2 linked regions of the Oreochromis niloticus genome follow. The protein of the gene in region 1 interacts with the protein of each later gene in a pairwise test. Links are inferred from orthologs where the notes say so. Each region holds a gene or a part of one and is shown on either strand. Other genes may lie near its edges. The genes, in order: bcar1 and nphp1.

The links.
Region 2: the proteins of bcar1 (region 1) and nphp1 interact in a two-hybrid assay, tested with the Homo sapiens proteins (2 studies listed by BioGRID). The link is inferred for Oreochromis niloticus from reciprocal best matches to the Homo sapiens genes BCAR1 and NPHP1.

The regions. Positions count from the first base shown.
Region 1 is NC_031972.2:39,743,622-39,747,546, reverse strand, and holds the start of bcar1 (breast cancer anti-estrogen resistance protein 1), read right to left. Parts: upstream 2,889-3,925; 5' UTR 2,732-2,888; coding exon 2,693-2,731; intron 1-2,692. UniProt on the Homo sapiens protein: Docking protein which plays a central coordinating role for tyrosine kinase-based signaling related to cell adhesion. Implicated in induction of cell migration and cell branching. Involved in the BCAR3-mediated inhibition of TGFB signaling.
Region 2 is NC_031978.2:9,814,628-9,818,552, forward strand, and holds the start of nphp1 (nephrocystin-1), read right to left. Parts: upstream 3,121-3,925; 5' UTR 2,920-3,120; coding exon 2,854-2,919; intron 2,438-2,853; coding exon 2,376-2,437; intron 2,016-2,375; coding exon 1,955-2,015; intron 1,698-1,954; coding exon 1,564-1,697; intron 1,335-1,563; coding exon 1,127-1,334; intron 497-1,126; coding exon 395-496; intron 173-394; coding exon 42-172; intron 1-41. UniProt on the Homo sapiens protein: Together with BCAR1 it may play a role in the control of epithelial cell polarity. Involved in the organization of apical junctions in kidney cells together with NPHP4 and RPGRIP1L/NPHP8. Does not seem to be strictly required for ciliogenesis.

The sequences.
Region 1 (3,925 bases):
TTTTTGGGTGCTTGTTATTCTTAAGGATGAACTGGAACACTTGTGGGCATGCGGCCCTTGTTCCAGAAGAACTGCAGTGTTGGTAAATAAATTACCTACAGTACTATTCATCCATCCATTTTCACCCACTTATCGAATTCATGGTTATTCATGGTCGCAGGAAGGCTGGAGTCAGTCCCATCGGCCATAAGGCGAGAGTGGGGACATGGAACCCAGACAGACACAGGGAGAACATGCGAACTCCACACAGAAAGGCCCAGGCAGATGGTGGATTCAAACCCTGGACTTTTTTGCTGTGAGCAAACAGTGCTAGCCACTATACTGAAAGGTAACACAAGCATTGGTTCTGGTGACACCTAGCATTAGGTGACCTTGAACCATCCCTCAGTTTTGTCTGAGGCTCAGCCACTGCTGTATGCTTTAACTTGCCTGTTTTCTCCCCACAAACCCTCGGTTTGTCTTCAGCATTGTAGACAGGCTGACAAAAAATCTGAGCTGAGTTGAGTGAAACATTCCATTTGACCTTAACTAGTAAATATTTCATTTGTTTATTACCAAATAAAATTTCACCATCAGAGAAAAAAATTACTCATAACCATCTCACAGACATAACATTATGTACAAATACCTTCAATTTTTCCACACCACAGGCCTTCAAGCTGGCAGTAGTTCAACAGTTATTTAAAAAGCCGTCTCTTGACCCAGCTGTCTTAGCTAATTATAGGCCAATCTCCAACCTTTGTGTCATATCAAAAATCCTTGAAAGAGTAGTTGTAAAACAGCTAACAGATCATCTGCAGAGGAATGATTTATTTGAAGAGTTTCAGTCAGGTTTCAGAGCTCATCACAGCACAGAAACAGCTTTAGTGAAGGTTACAAATGATCTTCTTATGGCCTCTGACAGTGGACTCATCTCTGTGCTTGTCCTGCTAGACCTCAGTGCAGCGTTCGATACTGTTGACCATATATTTTATTACAGTGTGCCGTAGGTATTAAAGCTACTGCACTGCAGTGGATTGAATCCTATCTATCTAATAGACTCCAATTTGTTTGTGCAAACAGAGAGTCCTCTTCACACGTGAAGTTTAATTATGGAGTTCTACAGGGTTCAGTGCTAGGACCAGTTCTGTTTAGGCATAGCATACATTTTCAATGTTATAAAGATGATACACAACTTTATATATCCATCAAGCCAGATAACACGCAGCAATTAGTTCAACTGCAGGAATGTCTTAAAGACATAAAGACCTGGATGACCGCTAACTTTCTGCTTCTAAATTCAAGTATAACTGAGGTTATTGTACTCGGCCCTGAAAATCTTAGAAACATGGTATCTAACCAGATTCTTACTCTGGACGGCATTACCTTAGCCTCCAGTAACACTGTGAGGAAAACTGGGAGTCGTTCTTGACAAGGATATGTCCTTAAATATGCATATTAAACAAATATGTAGAACTGCTGTTTTTCCATTTGTGCAATATCTCTAAAACTAGAACTATCCTGTCTCAGAGTGACGCTGAAAAACTAGTTCATGCATTTATTACTTCTAGGCTGGACTACTGTAATTCATCATCCTAAAAACTCGCTGAAAAGCCTTTAGTTGATCCAAAATGCTGCAGTAAGAGTACTGACAGGGACTAGAAAGAGAGAGCATATTTCTCCTGTATAGTCTTCTCTTCACTGACTCCCTTACTTCTAGAGTTAAGGGATAAAACTTTCCTTTTTGATAAAGCATATAAATGGAGCTGGATTAGGTGACCCTGAATCCTCCCTTAGTTAAGCTGCAATAGACTTAGGCTGCTGGGGGCTTCATATGTTGCACCGAGTGTTTCTCATTTTCTCACCCCTTTTCACTCACCATGTGTTTATACATATAATTGTTAGTTATTATTCACTGGCTCTCTTCGACAGCATGTATTTTGTCTCCCTCCCCTGACCACCAACCTGACAAGGCAAATGGCCGTCGCCTCCCTGAGCCTGACTCGGCCGGAGGTTTCTTCCGGTTGAAGGGGAGTTTTTCCTTCCCACTGTCGCCAAAGTGCTTCTCTGTATTATTGTAGGGTCTTTGCCTCACAATAATAAGTTCCCAGAGGATATAATAATAAAGAAATATACAATATAAAGGAAACTGAATTGAACTATACCTTGTTTTCTATCTTTCTGTTTGCCCTCATAGCCCAGGTGCTCACAGGTTGCTGCCCCTCCTCCCCTGCTTGTGCTACTACTACAGTGCACTACTGTCCTTTCACTAATTTATATGTACTTTATAAATTAGTCCTTTTTGCTGCATCTGCCTCATGCTGTCCTGACCAAACGACTAGCATATTAGAACTTTTTTAAATGTCAAAGAAGTGACACAAGCATGTATGTGGGAAGGAAATGACAGTATGATACAGCAATGCATGAGGGTCATGGAAGGACAATCCACTGTTAACTATGCTAACTCCACTAACTGTGTTTTGACTTTGGTGAGTTTTGTGTGTGGTTCTACAGCCAAAGCACATTTGTTTTTTAGTTTCTTTGTTTGTTTTTTGTGTATATGCCTGTTATCGGTGAAGCAAGCAAGAACCTGCCAACAAACTGTCCTTACACCCCCCAACCAACCCCGCCCCCGACACAAACTCACGCACACAGAGTCCCACTTAAGACAGCATTCCACAGCCTCCACATACAAACACAACTCCTCTGTTACCTCACATTCCAGCGGCACAGCAGCCACACTGCATTTCATCCTGAAGTTGACAAAGCAACAAAAAACAGCAGAGCAGTCCTATTTTCCTTTCTTTGACCGTTTTTCCCGTCTCTTCTCCCACACGGCTTCCTCTTGCTGTCTCTCTTTCTGCCTGTCTATCTCTCGCTCCAAACATCTGCTTCTTTCCTTCCTCTCTTCCACCGTCAGTCTGGCCTTCCCTCCCCCATTCCTTCTTTCCTGTCTTGGCATGTCAAACTATTATGGTGAAATAGTTGTGCGTACACGGCTGATTTGTACCAGCAGAAAAAAATACCCCACCAGCCAGCTGAGCATCTAGATGAAGCTGGAAAGTGTGTGTTGCAGGACAGTGATGTTTACAACGTGTGCACAGACCCAAAACAAAAGGAAAAGGCTCTATATTTGAGTCATCTGCCATAATAATGTGAATTACTCCTCTTGCAGTAATGTGTTAAACTGTATATTATTTCATTTTAGTGAGGAGCTGTAGTGTTCGATGCGCCAAATATGTATTTCTGAGTAAACGCCGAGTTCTCTTATATTTGACATGGAATAAGTTTAATTAACCAGCTGTGCTTATCACTAAACACTAAAGCTTAAAGAATTACCTTCAAGAAAAGAAAAGCAGGACGCTAAAAAAAAGGATACTGCGTAAAAAGGAACTCTCCACTGATTTTATGCACTGAGATCAATTAACCCAGTTTTAGTGTTTCTGGGAGACCTCTGTTAAACCCGATGATCATCCGTGACGTGTAAATTATATTTTTGGGAAGTCCTCAGTAAATCTTTTGATTTCTGGGGTGTGCCCTTAAATATGCCAATTTAATAATCTATTCAGCCTGAGTACAACAAAAGGTGGATTTCCAAGCAGCCCTGGCTGCTTTCTAGTGCAGGCTTCTGCTTTAGCAAGTGAAGAATGTCTGCCTTCAGGCTATGACTAACAACAGAAACAACAGCAGTGATTTCGTAGCCTGGAGAACAGGACAGGCTCACACAGGTGTGGCCAGATATTGCTTAACCTGATGACAGATGATCTTGGTAGGAACTTTTAAATAGCTGGCAGACTATTCATAACAGATAACTGGTTGGCTGAAAACAGCTCGTCTTTGTACACAACAATGAGAAACCGAGGTTGCAAGAATGCAAGTTACATGAAGTGTCTTACTACTGAAGAGATTTAACTGAAATAAAGTTCATACCAGCAGCGTTTTTGAT
Region 2 (3,925 bases), on another chromosome or scaffold:
TTTAATGCCGTTAAATAAAAACAAAATAAAAAACTTTCAACCTCCGTTTGTCTGGATCATCAGTTAATTCTTCACTATCTTGATCTTCCTCCTCTTCCGACTCCTCCTTTTCATCATCATCTTCTTTTGAATCATCGTCATCATCATCGTCATCATCAACACTAGAGCCAATCTAACACATTATGGTTACATTTAAAATATAATCAGAAATCATATCCTGTTATGATCTCCATTTTTTGTCAGTCTATACTAATATTAAAAACACGATAAATAAAGAAAACTGCTGCAGGCTGCATTTTAATGTTCTCAGTAATGTTTTATAATTCCTTCAGCTAAACACTTGTCTAAATGAAAATTCATAATGTTGGACTTGCTATCGTTGCAGTTTTTGTACCTTCAGGAAGGTTTTTGGAACCACTCCTCTGCTGCCTTTAGTGTTCTGAGCCAGCCACCATCCATCTGCTGTCTTCCTGATAATCCTCAACACCTCCCCCTTCTGAAACAACAGGCCACGGAACACCATGTAGTTCACATAACTCACACATTTGTAACAAACAGATGAGATCAAACACAGTTCATCACAGGCAGGTCTGGAAATCAGATTTGAGGATAAACCTATCTTCCTAATCAGTTAAGTACTTGATTAAAAAATAACCGGCAATGGAATAAGATTCATTTTGTCCCTTTCCAATTCTGAAATATTTATATAGAAATACATGACCTTACATTATTTCAAACACTTAAATCATTCATCATTCTGAAAAATTAATTACTTTATATAATATCAAATTGGATAAGTGGAAAAAGATGAATGGATGGATGGACATAATGATTAGTAAAGCTTATAAATGACACTACAGTGCACTAGACTGTATGCACATGTCCACCAGACACATCACAGAAATGTTTAAAATTAAATAGGTATATAGTTTTCAGAAATATGTAAATTACACTTTTTTCTTAATTCACGCCTGCAAGACTGCAGATGGTGGATTTGGATGGCTAGAGCGCCCTCTTCTGTCGAAACTAAATATTATACAATACCGCTTTTAACATCCAAGGGGAAAGAATCCAAGCTCTAAAAGTCCTAAATATATTGCTGACATCAAGGCTGTTTGTATTTTACCCGAACAGACAGATCTCCTTCCTGCTCTCCTTTGAAATCACTGAGGACCATGTAGATGCGAGCATCTGACTGAGATGGCGGTTTCAAATCTCGCCTCTCATCACTGCCAGTGTTGTTATCATTTTCTACATGCTCTTCTTCATTATCGTTACTGTCTTCGTCATCGTCTTCTTCAGCACTATCTTCACTATCTTCCTTTGAAACATTACTGTGGACCAGGGAATAGTTAAGTGAAAAAAGGTATTCTTTGGTCAGATTTGTCATTCATTTGTCATTGAATTTGTCAGATAAACTGATGCTTTGCAATGAAGCATGCAGATTAAATTGTGGGGAAGTCAAGCCCCTGCAGCAAGGACTGTAAAGTACATACACAGATCAACAAAAAAACTCTATCATCCCAGTTTTCCTTCTTTGCAATTAGCATACATTTCACTAACCCTGCTTCAGTGCTAGGTCCTGGTGGCGACAGCTCCAGAGAGAGAGTTTTTAGACGCTCCAAGATGTTTTGCACTCGTCGCTCCTCTTCCTGTTTCCTCTGATCATAATTCCCCACTGGAGCCAGCTCATCAGCCTGAAAGATCAAGCACTAGCTTATGATGTCTAATTAGCTACACTGCTGTCAACCATGCAACATTTTCCACAAAGATAAATTAATATATAGATTTGGTGCTGTAAGTAATGACAATTGCCTTCATAAAAACAACTTATATTAGTCAAGTAATATCACTGATTGCTTCCAATTGTTGGCATCCAGAGATTATATTAAATCTGTGTACAATAATAGTATTTGAAAAGGTTGAAAAGTTTCTTAAAGATTAGAAAACTAACCTTGCTCAGTTTCTTTAGTGTCCTTAGTGTCTCCTCTGCTGACATTTGCAGTTTTTGGCATCTGTTTGCAAGTAGATATCAAATTTTCAAGCATTCCATAAAGTAGGTGATTGGGGGATGTGGTAGAGAGGGTCATCATGCTGAAATATCCTTGGGCAGACTGATAGCGAACTCACTGATGTACCCATTGCAGTGTGAGTATGTGTGTAATTGTTAGAAAATGCTTAGTTATAGTTACAATCCTGTATGGATTTGTGCGTGACTGGGCGAGTGACACTTTTAGCAGAAAACACTGTGAGTGCTCAACTGAGTAGAAAGGCGCTATATAAGTACACACAAGGATTTCAATGTTGAAACAGGTGAGGGTGCTTGTCTTAAGAGTAAGGAAGGGCACTGCTGGTGCTCTGCCACAGTTGGTTACCTTCGAAAGGCCTCTTCAGTGGATCCAGCCTGACTCTGGGCATCCTTCTCCAGACTGTCAACCTGTGAAAGTGTTTAAATCAATGTACGGTTAAGAATTGCACAGGACGGTATACATATTGCACATGATTTGTGCAAAATAACCATATTTCATCAGTTCAAATAAAAGTTGGCGTCATCAATAAGCGTTTATGTTGATGATTATGTCGGTTTTTATCTATGTTTACATTGCTAACTCACAGCAGTGCATCACAATGAATTGTTACGAACAGATGCTAATCAATATTTATGCTAGCGCAAGCCACGTCGGTGAAGGGCTTATAAGACAAAAGTGTTTAGAGAAACAGTCACGTTCAAGCCTCGGGATCACTTCATTTCGAAAAACCTCTGGGGGTACATGTGCAACAACTGTATAACGTTCAGTCTAAGCAGTTTGGTGCAATCGCACCTAGGTTTAAAGACGTCATTCTTTAACTGACCTGTTTTTTTATTTCATCCACTTCTCTCTGAGCTAGCTGCAAAGGTCCTCTTCTTTTTAGTGGCATTTATACACTTTTTAGGGTCATACGATCCGTGTGTTAGCTCATCTCCTAGCTTGCTAACTGACGCTAGGCTTCCAACAGTTGCTAGGCAACTGACTTCTTCTTCCTCGGATTATTTTTTTTATTTTATTTTCAATGTAATTTCCCATAACCCTGCTCATTGTGGGTTTATTTTAGTCAGCATATTTTGCTTATGTATTTTTTTTAAATATATATATATATTCGTAACTGAATTAACGCGATATTAATACAAAGGCTTTTCTGTTTTTTCCCGCAATTTTTGGCAGTTTACATCAAGCTACCGCCGCCTACTGGACTGGATGATGAAGCTGTAGGAAAACCTAAAAAGTGGTTGGTAACTATCATCGTATATTTTCTCACTATTCCTCGAAAAATTACTGATGTTACTGCGACTTCATAATGTTGGTGTTGTTTGTGTTTAATGCGCATTTGTTTCAGATTCAGTCCCATAAGGGTAAAAACTGATCGGTCTAAGGCCAAATTTGGGATCAAAAGGCAAAACTACCATTATTGATTGTAATCATATATAAATCCAAGTACTCTCCAAATTCTGATGTAATATATTTGCATTTCCTCTAATACCAGTTTTTAAATGCTAGCTGTTTGATGCTTTTACAGGTTTTATGTCCCAAAAATATAACAAAAGTTATTACTGATATTTTTACTTCTCTTCCAAACTCGAGTGTGACCCTCCCTTCCCCCCCAATAATCCTCAGCTTTTGGCTGTTCGAACCCATCCAGCACCACATCTACAGCTCCGCCATATAAAATTATATCACTCTTTCAAAGGACACTTGCGATGCACAGTTGTGTAAGTGCTTTCAAAAACACCTACAGGGGGCGTACGTTACGTCCTTTGCCCTGCGTGTTACCTTCACTACCACTTGTCATTTTCTTTTCCCCAAATTTCAAATGTATAATTTCAAAACATGCCGTCACTGTAACAGCGTTATTTTTTATAAAAAAGTTTAATCGTCGCTTATGCTTA